Linked DNA regions of Sus scrofa. The protein of the gene in region 3 interacts with the protein of the main gene of each other region in a pairwise test. Links are inferred from orthologs where the notes say so. Each region holds a gene or a part of one and is shown on either strand. Other genes may lie near its edges.

Evidence for each region.
Region 1: the proteins of STAC3 (region 3) and FAM133A interact in binary tests that used the Homo sapiens proteins (3 or more experiments, as listed by UniProt). The two-hybrid records come from large-scale screens. The link is inferred for Sus scrofa from reciprocal best matches to the Homo sapiens genes STAC3 and FAM133A.
Region 2: the proteins of STAC3 (region 3) and EAF1 interact in binary tests that used the Homo sapiens proteins (3 or more experiments, as listed by UniProt). The two-hybrid records come from large-scale screens. The link is inferred for Sus scrofa from reciprocal best matches to the Homo sapiens genes STAC3 and EAF1.

Annotation. Positions count from the first base shown.
Region 1 is NC_010461.5:76,176,153-76,180,477, forward strand, and holds part of FAM133A (protein FAM133A), read left to right. Parts: intron 1-2,826; 5' UTR 2,827-2,929; coding exon 2,930-3,676; 3' UTR 3,677-4,325.
Region 2 is NC_010455.5:2,653,189-2,657,613, reverse strand, and holds the start of EAF1 (ELL-associated factor 1), read right to left. Parts: upstream 2,786-4,425; coding exon 2,416-2,785; intron 595-2,415; coding exon 500-594; intron 1-499. Other genes in the region: METTL6 (methyltransferase-like protein 6), read left to right, coding at 3,775-3,999. UniProt on the Homo sapiens protein: Acts as a transcriptional transactivator of ELL and ELL2 elongation activities.
Region 3 is NC_010447.5:22,553,203-22,557,627, forward strand, and holds the start of STAC3 (SH3 and cysteine-rich domain-containing protein 3), read right to left. Parts: upstream 3,129-4,425; 5' UTR 2,797-3,128; intron 1,908-2,796; 5' UTR 1,809-1,907; coding exon 1,743-1,808; intron 1,465-1,742; coding exon 1,197-1,464; intron 955-1,196; coding exon 857-954; intron 643-856; coding exon 570-642; intron 1-569. UniProt on the Homo sapiens protein: Required for normal excitation-contraction coupling in skeletal muscle and for normal muscle contraction in response to membrane depolarization. Required for normal Ca(2+) release from the sarcplasmic reticulum, which ultimately leads to muscle contraction.

The DNA.
Region 1 (4,325 bases), on a different chromosome or scaffold from region 3:
TAGAGTCTCCTCGTCTCATATATTTCCCCCTCTTTTCATTTACAATACCACTATTTTAGTTCACACTCTTTCATTTCTTATCTGTATGAATACTTGAATGAATCTCATTGTCTTCATTCTTACCTACCTCCATTTCATCTTTCATGCTGTAAGAAATTCTCTTAAATTTTCAGATGTGACCATATCACTCTCCTGCTTAAAATAGTCAATATTTCCCCATTAGCTTCACTCTAAGTCCCTTAGAATAAATTCCAACCTCAATAGCACATCCAAATCCTTTGTGAACTGGTCTTTGCTTGTCTTTCTAGATGATGTCAGGACTAGGTCTCAAGGAGCTGAAATTAGAATGGATTATGCTATTCTTTTTTTTTTTTTTTTTTTTTTTTTTTTGTCTTTTTGCTTTTTCTTTGGGCCACTCCCGCGGCATATGGAGGTTCCCAGGCTAGGGGTCCAATCGGAGCTGTAGCCACCGGCCTATGCCAGAGCCACAGCAACGCAGGATCCGAGCCACGTCTGCAACCTACACCACAGCTCACGGCAACGCCGGATCGTTAACCCACTGAGCAAGGGCAGGGACCGAACCCGCAACCTCATGGTTCCTAGTCGGATTCGTTAACCACTGCGCCACGACGGGAACTCCGGATTATGCTATTCTAAATGTACAGTTGCAGAAACTACCAGCAAGTTTAATGTGAACTATGTCCTTAAGGGCTTTTGATGTTCAAGTCTTGGAAACAATGATATTTGACAGATCTGTAGAGTAGCATTAAAAATGAAAATGACAAAAAGACCCAAGAGGAGCTGGGCAGAATTGAAGAGGAAGGAAAATAAGATAATACAACAAATCAAACACAGAAAACTATTACCAAGAATCAGTGTAAAATCTGTGGCATTGAGCTTATGATGAGTAAGTATGTTAGGTTGACTTAAAGGGTCAGAGTCAAGACGGAGACTGACAGAAAAATCTGTGATATGTCCTATCATCTTTCTCTTCAAACTTTGATAGCTTCCTAACAACTCTAAGACAAAATCCAAAATGTTAAAATAACCTAAGAAGGCCTGATGGTCAAGCTACTTACTTCATATGCAGCCTCACCTCCTACCAGTTCCCTCTTAACACTTTAGGCTCCGTCAACACTAAATACATAGTGCTCCTTCAGATCTCTCAGGTTTTTTACATACTGTTTCCTCTGCCTAGAATGTCCTTCATTTCCCCATTTCCTGAGTGAACTCCTATTTATCCTTCAAAACCCTATACTGACGTCACAAACTCCAAGAGGTTTCTCTGGATGTCCCTCTCTCACAGAGTTATCAATACAGTCATTTATTTGTTTATTATTTTGCACATATTTATTGAGTACTTAGTGTGGGACATATGCCATGTTAGGCCCTGAGAAAACCATGGTGTTGTAAGACAAATCAAATATGACCTTTACCCTCTTGGCCTTATATTTAGTGATGGATACATACACACAGACATGTACACACACAAATACACACATATCCACATAGATGTATAAAATAATTATTGATTTTCTAAGTGCTGTGAATAAAAGAAACAAGGAACTGTGGTACAAAATAATGAGTATGAGAGAGAGCTACAGAGGTAACATACTTTGATATAAGGTTGAACCATATGAAATTGTTGGTATTTGACTCTTTTTGTCCTATATAATTGGTGATTTTATATAGTTTGACCTAATAGTTACCTTTCAGAAAAACTGGCATTTAAAATGAGACCTGAAAATGAGGTGAAACTGGCCTGGAGCTTACACGTTCCCGAATCAAAGAGAAGATCAGAAAAGATAGAGTTGAGAAAAGGGGTAAATAACTCTAGATGAAAGTAAGAGGATCCACCAAAAAGGACCTTTATAGGAGTTTGTATTTGATTCTCATTAAAATGTAAAGCTACTGGAACATTTTAAGATCCTTCTGATTTCAATGTGGGACTGGAATGGAAGACAGAATGGGTAAAATAGGGCTATCAATTAAGAAGTTGATGTAAGGAGGCAATAGAGCGTTGTGTTAGGTGTGTAGGTTTTGACATTAGGCTGCCTTGATTTGAAGCCTGGTTTTGCCATATGCCATTTATTATGTTACACAAGTTATTCAAAACCTCTAAGCCTCTGTTTCTTCATCTGTGTAATAGGGGTAATAATAGGACCAACCTCAAAGAATAAGTCTTGAGACTGAATCACATAATCTACTGCACAACACTAAGGACTCCCTGGCATATAATAAACCCTTAATAGATACTAGAGATTAATAGGCCAAATGAGAGATGACAGTACCTGGACTATGTTGATGACAACATATATGGATAGAAGTGAACAGACATGAGATCTATTATTGTGGTGAGTTTAAACAGCAGGATTTAGTAATGAATTGGATGTGAGAGTTGAGGGTGAAGGATTGTTCAGGTATGACTCCTAGGTTACTATCAAAGAGTGGAATGCTTTATGATGTACTTTCTTAAGATGGAAAAGGTCTGCTTGCTACAGAATTTAGCTATAGAAATTTTTCTCTCTTTATACCATATTAGGCAGAATGAAAGAAAGAAAAAAAAGGTAAATATCATACAATGCAAAAGGAAGTAGTTATTTAAATATTTAGATAATAGAACCTCACATGAGGTATAAAAAACACTTTATATTATATTCATACCACAATGTCTAAAATAGGCAAAAATTGTGTATTATCTTTTCTCTAAGATTTTGGAAATCTTTCTACTATACTGTGTGATAGACAGTGAACAATTAAACTTATGTGCTTACTTTGTCTTATATTAAAGATGTTTTTTAATCATTCCATCTGCTTCTCTCACAGAATGGAGCCTACTTGTTATACCAGCAGATGAAGAATTTAAGGAGGGTGTCTATCTTTATTCTCTTTAACAACTGAGAGTCTGCTCTGGGAACCATCAGGCACCATGGGGAAGCGGGATAATCGTGTAGCTTATATGAATCCTATAGCAATGGCCAGATGGCGGGGCCCCTCGCAATCTGCAGGCCCAACAATACAAGATTATCTGAATCGACCGAGGCCGACCTGGGAAGAAGTGAAGAAACAATTAGAAAATAAAAAGAAAGGCTCCAAGGCATTAGCTGAATTTGAAGAAAAAATGAATGAGAATTGGAAGAAAGAACTAGAAAAAAGCAGAGAGAAGTTATTAAGTGGAAACGAGAGCTCATCCAAGAAAAGGGAAAGAAAGAAAAAGAAAAAGAAGAAATCTTGTCAGTCTTCGTCGTCTTCTTCATCAAGCTCTGATTCTTCAAGCAGTTCTTCAGATTCTGAGGATGAGGAGAAGAAACAAGGAAAAAAGAGAAAGAAAAAAAAGAACCGTGCATACAAATCATCAGAAAGCTCTACATGTGAATCTGAATCAGAGAGCAAGGAATCTGTAAAAAAGAAGAAGTCAAAGGATGAAACAGAGAAAGAAAAGTATATTAAAAGTCTCAGCAAAAAAAGAAAGAAGACTTATCCTGAAGATAAACCTTTATCATCAGAGCTCTCATCAGAATCAGATTATGAAGAGGAGATGCAAGCAAAGAAGAAAAGGAAACGTGACGATCGAGAAAAAGCAACAGAAAAAGCAAAGAAGAAGAAGAAGAAACAGCACAAAAAACATAGTAAGAAGAAGAAAAAGAAGTCAGGTTCAAGTCACAAGTCAGGATAATATCAAGAAAAAAAATAAAGCAAGATGTCCCTATTGAAAAAAGCAAGGTCTAAAGGAAACTTCAACTGTGAATGTTAGGGCATATTTACCAAAATGCATGAATTTCCCTGTGTTAGAGTTATTCCCGGACTTTTGAGTTGCCAGTCAAATGCTACTGTGCCAGAAAGGGCCATAATTGTTGCCTGCAGCTTAAATATAGGATTTTGTTTCATTTGTGTGTTTTTCCTTCCACTGGCTAATTCCTCAGAGAACTAAAACCCTGTTGTCATACTAGTGGTTAAAATGTTTGGAATTAAAGTAAAATGTTTTAGGTGATAAATAATTTTGACCCAAAAATGTCCCTAATAGTCAAGAGATCTAATTTGGATACATCTTAAAAATATAATCAGAACTATCCAGATGACAATAGTTGACATTTTTGAAGCAACTATTGATGCTCAAAAATGACTATTTGATGTCTCCAAATACTTACTTTTGAAGATTAAAAATTTAGTTTATTTTTCTTTTCTCCTTAATAAACTTTTGTTCTCATGGGGAAAGGGCTTGCGGGGGAAAAAAGAGTTTGCTATCACTTTGGCTAGCTGAATAGTGTGCCTTTGGTCCTTACACATCCTATTTTTGCCTGTGCGGCAGCCATTCTTTTCTTATT
Region 2 (4,425 bases), on a different chromosome or scaffold from region 3:
TTCTCCCTTCAGCTTTTAACTGGGTTTCTTGCCCCTAAATAAGTTGAATGTTCTGAACCTCTGGTTCTGGCCGAAAGCTACCAGAATGCACATCACCCCTTGCCATATACAGGAACCAGGCTGACCCCGCCCTCCCTCCCCATGCTCCTAAGCTGTTGCCACTTTACATCCTCCAGGTGCCTGGGTCTTTCTCTCTATAGCTGCTGGGGGGCAGGGCAGGGGCTGGGGGGGCGGTTAAACAACATCTAAAGGAGGGGTTAGTTGTCCGCATAGGACATCTGGAATAAATGGAGAAAAAGGGAGCTTGGGGAAAATGGCAAAGAATTATTTTTACTCAAGTACATGGGAAATGTGAATTCTATCCCACTCCATCCCCCAAACTGGCATTTTAGGAATCTACACATTCTTAAACAGGAGGAAAATCAAATTGCAATAATGTAGAATATGAAGATCCACTGTGATTCCACATTAGAAACAACAACGATGGAATAAAACCCACAGGGATATGCGGCAGCGTAATTGTGACTTCATCTCCTTTGCCGACCTGGAGCTCTCCTTCACAGGAAGTGTCTATAGATGCCGGCTTAAAGTCATCTAAAGGGAAAGGGAAAAAAACATTTATCTACCAGGTTACTAATACTAAGCAAAGGCTTCTGGGGCATTTTCACTTAAGAATTGAAATTTTTTATGACTCAGATAAATGGAAAATACAAACCAGTTAGGAGTTTCTAAAAAAGTATTTCATTGTGGAAAACTTCTCATACACAAAAGCAGAGAGAACAATACAACGAGCTCCTGTGTACCACCACCCAGCTTCAATAATTACCAGCTCCAAGATAATCTTGTTGCAGCTATACCTCCACATACTTTTCCTCCCATCTCCACTGGATTATTTTGAAGAAAAAAAAAAGCTAGAATGTATATACTATTTTATTAAGCAAAGATATTCCCCTCTCTCAAGTGACAGATGAAAATTAATGCCTTATTCATAATGAATGTTTTACTAGGGTAATTACAAGGATCAAAAGCAACAGAGCACAGTTTTTAAATCCTGTGATTGTAAAACCCAATGTGAAAAATGAAAAGCTACAGCATCATATGCGCTGATTTCATTTTGCATAGGAACTGTCAACATTAGGATCTGCCACACTCAAGTTCCATAGCTTTAATAAGGACACGCCTATAGATGTTTGGGGATGACCGCTGAACTGTATTTCCAAAGGTTAATCCTGCCTGTGTCTCTGGATTGCAGTTAAAGCACAACCTGAACAGCACTCTTACTTTTAACACACATTTGCCTCAACCTGCAGGCCAGGTGCCTCTTTGAAGTATCTTTCTTAAGCTCCTCACTTTCCTTCACGCTACCAACAAATAACCTCCTCAGGAAATGACGCTCCCTCACATCCTCAATATCCTCCCTCAGAAAGGGCTGATCTGCTGTCAGTAGGAAGAAGAGGAATGACGGTGCAAGTGACCACATGAAGACAGAACATCATTATCTAACACACCCTCTTCCAAGGTGTTGAGTCACCTCTGAGAGTTCCTCTCAGAAAAACAAGTCTTAACCAGCATTAGGGCTACCAGGATGGGAAGCCAGGAGTTTGTGAATCAGAGAGATGCTCAGTCAGCCAAGTCTTTACTCAGGACACAGAGTAGAAGGGCCCTCCCTCAACAGAGTCTGTAATCAAGGAGAAAAAGGAGACCCAGCATAATGACTATTTTCACATTCCTTATGTCTGCTGCTTCTGCTTCCAAACATAGACCAAGCTGTAACTTATTCTTGGCTCACAAATTCCAATTTTATTCCTCACCCACAAGGGACATGGTCCCGAGGAAAAGTCGGGGTAGTCCAGGTAACCTCAAAGGCAGACGAAAAGCTGGCACGAAGAGATGGAGGAGGAAGACTGATGCGGCGCAGAGGGGAATGCGGTTTCTGATGTTTGCAGTGGGGATGAAGCGCGGCGTTAGGGCGGCCAGAACCAAAACATACGAGAAAAGTGAGGACAACAGAAGAAAATGGAATAGGAGAGAGTGGAGGCAGCTCCCAAGCAAACGGGAAAAATCTTTGAATCGTGGAGATCCCCTAGTGGGTCGTGGTGGAGTGGGGGGCCTAGGGAAACGAGCTGAACCCTGATGTGGACTCGGCAACCTTTAGGCAGCAAGAGGGGTAGGTTCGGCACGCGGGAGGGCTGGACCTGGCAGGAAAGGGGGCCAATGGTCTTTGGAAGACGTGTTTGGGACCACGAGGCAGAGGAACAGGAGGGAGGGACGAAAAGTCTTGTTTGGGAAGAGTGAACCGGGAAAAAGCAAAATGTCCCTGCGGATCCGGGGAGATAGGAAGGGAACTGATGCTGGCAGGCTCCCCGGGCTACGGGATCGAGGTCGGCCTGTGGCGGCTGCGGGATGCGGACTCACAGCGGATGGTGTGGAAGGAGGCCCGCGGCCGATTCTCGAAGCTCTCCCCAAGCCGCAGGCGGTGCTCCTCGCGGTCCAGCAGAGGGTTGGCCGTCCCGTTCATGGCCCCGCACGGGCCGCGCGCCCGCCCCGGCGCCCTCCTGGCGCGCCCGCGGCCGGAGCTGCCGGCGCCTGAGTTCGAGGGAGCAGCGCTCCCGGGACAGCACCCCGGGGCGAGCGGAGAACCGAGCCGGTGCCCACCTGCGGCTGGAAATAAGTCCTGGCGTGCGCGTCGGGGCGGGGGACAACTGTGAGGAAGCGGGGCCGCGGAACTTCCGGCGCCGGGGAGGGACTTCCGGTCTCGAAGCGGAAGTGGCGGGGGCGGTGCCATGGCAAAAAGACTCCGCTGGGAGAAGCCCAATGCGAGGTGCTGCAGACTGGTTTGTCCAGCCGCTGGGTTTTACCGCGGTGGCTCCCAAATTCTACTCACGCGGTTGGGCCTGGGTGAGGGCTTAGCGCGCCCGGCGCCACCCTCCAGGGGAACCTAGGAACTGAAGACTGGGCGCTGGCGCGCGGCGGTCTCGGTGAACAGGGCTCCTCACAAGCGCTCACAGGTGCTCGTGGCCGGGCGGCCAGGTTATCCCCGGTGTCCTGGAACCCCACACCACGCGTCCCTGGGTCTCTTCCTTCCCTTTGCGCGGACGACTGCGCGAGGGCCTCAGTTCCTGGAAAGCGACGCCCCTCTGCTTCGTGAAACTCTGCGACTGAGGCCTCCCAGGCTTAGCTCCGTGTTCCTTGGAAACGGTGACACTGCTTCTGTCTGTGAATTGACCACCCTTCTCCAGTACCGGCAGCTGTTAAGTCGCCCCTTTCACGGGCACCGAACATTGACGAGTATCTTCCCCCAAAGGTTTCTTAGTTCTTGGGAGTGACTCTGTTCTAAACTAAAGCGATTTATTATAATAGTTGACTTATTCAGGTTTGAATTAGAGTTCTATGCGTGAGAGCGCCCTGGCAGCTGAATGTCAGCCCTCTGTAGGCAAGGGCAGTGTCTGGGTCTTCTTTATGACCTCTTTTCTTATAGCGGGGCAGGGTTTTGTGTAGGGTCGGCCACTAGTAAACATTTGGTGAATTGAACTGTTTGGTGAAAAAACTGTGTTAGAACCACTAACTCAGCATCTTTAAAACTGTTCCAGAACCCCCAACCAGAATCTCATTCTTTTTTCCTGCAAAACACCCGACGTTGCCTGAGGCCTGAACCCAAAGAGAGGGGCCGCATCTGAGAAAACTCTGCCTGTGTAGTATCTGCTTGAATTTCTCGGGTTATTCGCGAAGGGAGAATATCCAGCAGTGTTAAATATATTACCATCAACTTAGGAGATGGCTTCTTTGCAAAGGAAAGGGCTGCAGGCAAGGGTTCTCAGCTCTGAAGAAGAGGAAAAACTGAAAAGAGACCAGGCTTTAGTGTCTGATTTTAAACAGCAAAAACTGGAAAAAGAGGCTCAGAAAAACTGGGACCTTTTTTACAAAAGAAATAGCACTAATTTCTTCAAAGATAGACACTGGACCACCAGAGAGTTTGAGGAGCTCAGATCTTGTAGAGAGGTAAACTAATATTACGCCTTATTTGAACTGTCTTTCATTAAGAATGTGTGGAAGAGGGGTGTTTTATTGCATTCTCACGGGCAGTGTGAGGTAGAGAATATATGAAGCCTGTCAAAACGCTTCATAAGTTTTTGTACCTTAGAAATACACTGTTGGAGTTCCCGTCGTGGCGCAGTGGTTAACGAATCCATGAGAAACCATGAGGTTGCGGGTTCGATACCTGCCCTTGCTCAGTGGGTTAACGATCCGGCGTTGCCGTGAGCTGTGGTGTAGGTCGCAGACGCGGCTCGGATCCCACATTGCTGTGGCTCTGGCGTAGGCCGGTGGCTACAGCTCCGATTCGACCCCTAGCCTGGGAACCTCCATATGCCTCAGGAGCAGCCCAAGAAATGGCAAAAAGACAAAAAAGAAAAAGAAATACACTTT
Region 3 (4,425 bases):
GGGGAACTCCATAAGGAGAAAGGTTTTTAAATTTTTATTTTTATTTATTTTTTGGGCTATGCCTACAGCATGTGGAAATTTATGGACCAGGGATCGAACCCATGCCACAGGAGCCACTGGGGCTGCTGCAGTGATAGCCCTGGACCCTCAACCTGCTGCACCAACATGGAAGTCCACGGGTATGTTTTTTAGGGTTGCCAAATTATGAACCTACCCAGGATGCCCACAGCTCTTGGTCTGGCCCTGACTCTGGCATTATTCTGTAACAGGGATGAGGACAGTCTAGTTCGTGCTTAGAAATGATTTTGTACATGAAGAGCAGAGTTTGAGGTTAGGCGGGTGAAAGTTTCAGTTTTGGTTCTGTCTCTTCCTGAGTAGAGCCCCAGCTAAACCTTATTTCCCTCAGCTATAAAACAGAGGAATACTGACTCTGCATCCAAGATGGCCAAGATACTAGGTTGAGCGAGAACCACAGGATATAGAATCTTTCTGTTTCAGAATTTTGTTTCCACATCTGGAAACCACCTCTAGGCTTGCCCATTCCCTCAGGTCCTGTATGGGGCACTTACAGAGATCTTTGACACAAGCGTACTGCTGGTTGCTGTAGAGTGGGGAGCTATAGGCCCGACGGAAACCAGGGGGCTGTAGGATGGGATGGGAGAAAGCATTAGAGATAACAAGGTAGAGCCCCAAACCCCACCTCTCCCATGAACGTCCACCCTTTCTTGGAGTAAAAGATAGGCTGAGGAAGAAAAAGCAGGGAAATGGATGGGATGCCTTGAGGAGGGACCGGCAAGGAGGTAGCGGGCAACATGTCCCCTCCCTTCTACTTTCTTGCTCCCCAGAGCCTACTCACGATCTTGCCGAAGCATCTCTGCATCTCCACGTAGGACTGACAGTGTTCGTGGATGTTAGTTTTGCAGTTCTTACAGCGAAGCCCAAATTTGTTGTTGACTTGGGAGATGGGGAGAACATTTGCGTGAGGTTCCTGATTGCCCTTTCCCTTCCTAACACTGCTGCTACTCTAGTTCTCAGGTCCCTTTTCAGTATAGGACCTGACACTCTCCATCTCTGCAGTAGTTTCTTAAAGCTAAATCTTGCCACAGCCTATCTGATGTACAAATACTCCTCTCCTAAATCCTTTCCCCTGCCCCCTGCCTTTGGCATCACACTCTCCACTTCCCTCTGTGACTCACGCACAATCATCCGGGCGCAGACGTCACAGAACTTGGGCTTCTTGAAGAAGTGATCTTTGAATTTGTGGGGCTTATCATTGACAAGCTTGGGAGGTTCTGGGAGTGGTTCTTCTTCCTCTTCCTCCTCTTCTTCCTCTTCCTCATAGATGTAGTAGATGGGCCCACCCCCAGCTCCCACTGCCTCCCCATTGGCCTGGGGCTCTGGGGGAAGCTCCATCTCCTTTGTCCCTGTAGACTCCTTCCTAAATAACTGCTTCAGCCGCTGTAGCTGAGGGAGGGAAGGAAGGAAGGAGGGAAGGAAGGAAACCCAGTGTTAAAGGAACTGTCTTGCTTTTTAGAGTAGGTCAGGCTGAAGCTAACTAGACATTCTTCAAGCTTGGGGCAAGGGGCACACCCCAGGATTAGGGGGTCCTGGGGCCTGTAGGTGCTAGCTAGCATTTGAACAATACATGAATCGTATACAAGTGAGATCAATTCAAGCAATTTTCTTCAAGACTGCAGTGGCTTCCCAGCTCCCCATACCCCATGGTCAAGGCCCAGACTCACCCCACTTTGCCGAGTCTCTCCTGGGAAGGAGGGCTTATGGGACTCCAGCACCTCCTTTTCTGTCATCCTGCAAGAGGTTGACCTCACTATGAAATCTAATCTCTGAATGACATTCTTCCCCCCTTGTTCCTGTCCCTTGCAGTAGGGTGGTCCTTGAAGGGGAGGCTTTGGGAGAAATTTGGTTAAACAGAGATTCTTTCACAGACAGGGGCAAGGAGCAGAAAGATTCCAGAAAGGCCCAGAGAAAAGCCCAACAGACAAAAGAACTTCCCTACCAACTCCTTAAACCAATGACCATCCTTCTATCCTGATGGGCAACCCCAGAGTTTACTGCCCTGAGACAGTGCACAAGGCTGTGTGGTTTAGGCATTTTCCTACAAGCACTTTGTTTCTCTTGGGAATCTGTGGGCTTTGGTTTTTATTTATTTATTTTTGTCTTTTTCTAGGGCTGCACTCGTGGCATAGGGAGGTTCCCAGGCTAGCGGTCTAATTAGAGCTGCAGCTGCCGGCCTACACCACAGCCGCAGCAATGCCGGCTCCTTACCCCACTGAGCAAGGCCAGGGATCAAACCCGCAACCTCATGGTTCCTAGTCGGATTCGTTAACCACTGAGCCATGATGGCAACTCCAAGGGAATCTGTGGGCTTTAGAAATGTGACACACACCTTCCCAGATCCCCTTTCAAGAGGTTTAATGTGCATGTCCACAAGTGCGCATAGAGGGATGGGCTGGGGACATTTGTTCTCTCCTACCTTTCTTGAGCTCAGGGGCCCGGTGCCTAGTTCCCTAGTTCCCAGCCTGCCTCAGGCTTCAGCTATTTTAAGTTTTCAGAGTAATATGAGACTTTCCTTCCCTTACTACTCTACTCCCCTGACCCCACCCCCACCCTACCCTTCAATCCTAACTCTTGTCCTGGAGTAGCTTAATAATTTCACTCCTAAAACCCAAACTACTCACAGACAATGAGAGAAATGAAGAAGCTGAATAGACTACGGATTGGGGAAGCTGGGGTGAGAAGTCCTGGAAACGCAAAGAGGATGAAGAGGCAACTTACGTTTGGGATTCCCTAAGTCAGTCCACAGTCTGTGGAGAAAAGAGGGAGCCCCTGGGGTCTTGATGGTGGTGCTGGGGGAGGACTGGTCCTCTTCCTTGGGGGCTAAGCCCCCCCAGTACCCTCTGTACTCACACCAGCTACCCAGACGGTATTTGTAGACCTCCTAGCCTCTCGCCTTGGTGTCAGAGCTGAAATGACAGGGCTGGAGGAAAGTGGACAGCTGAGCGACACAGCTGACACAGAGAAATTGGACACGAGGAGGTCTGGGCAGGGCTGGACCCTAACTCCTCCCATCCCCCCACACTGCTGTTGCTTGGTTTTTCATCCACGGTGTGCAGTTCAGCATTGGCTAAACTCAGGAGGGGACAGTGTCCATGCTGGACACTTGCGTGGCTGATTTTAGATGACTTACAAACAGCCTTATCCATCCCCTTTCCCCCAAGGTCTCAATACCTCCCCGATTCTCCCCTCCTTGAACCTGTTTTAGGAACTAGCCTTTGACTTCTTAGCCATTGTCTTCTTGTGGTCCCTGTCTTGTTTTTATACCCTCAAGCATCGATCTAGGCTCCAACAGTAAGAAAGCTTGGAAACTGGTCAAGAAAGGATAATTTGGATTTCCAGAGCTCAGCCAAACTAGATTGCCTTTTTTTTTTTTTTTTTTTTTTGGCCGTGCTCACGGCATGCATAAATTAATTCCCGGACCAGGAATTGAACCCATGTCACAGCAGCAACCAGAGCCATAGAAGTGATAATGCCGGGTCTTTAAACCACTGAGCCACTAGGGATCTCCTAGATGGCCTTCCTGCCCATGAGCAGTGGCTGCTATCTGGTAAGGCAGTGACGACACGCAGTATTGCTTTGTTCCCTCCAGCTGCCCCCAGAGATCTTTTCCCTATTTCTCTAAAGTCTTGTCCTCAGGGTGAAAGGAATTCTAAGAGCTATTTTAAAAAGTCAGGCTGGGACTTCCACCTGAGGGTCTCTGAGGGAGTGAGGGTCCAATGATCACAGAGATGGTTTCATTAACATTGCACAGAAGGCAAGAGTTGTCACATTGGGAGTTTTTATCATCTGTAAGTAAGTCTCCTTCCTCATGGGAGCTGCAAACTCTTGGAGACAGGATGGCCAAGCCTCACATTTCCTTCATCATTCTGACTCCCTGATTCCTTCTCTTTCTGATGATGTCCTGGCATATGAACTGATGGGTCAATGAGATAGTTGGCATTCTTTTTTTTGGAGGGGGGTCTTTTTAGGGCTGCACCTTCGGCATATGGAAATTCCCAGGCTAGAGTCAAATTGGAGCTGCAGCTGCCAGCCTATACCACACCACAGTCACAGCAACGTGGGATCCGAGCCTTGTCTGTGACCTACACCACAGCTTACAGCAACACCGGATCCTTTGACTCAATGAGTGGGTCCAGGGATGGAACCTGCATCCTCAGGGACATTAGCTGGGTTCATTACTGCTGAGCCACAACAGGAACTCTGATATCTGGCATTCTTTTTTTTTTTTTTTTTTTTTTTTTTTTGTCTTTTTGCTATTTCTTGGGCCGCTCTCGCGGCATATGGAGGTTCCCAGGCTAGGGGTTGAATCGCAGCTGTAGCCACTGGCCTACACCAGAGCCACATCAA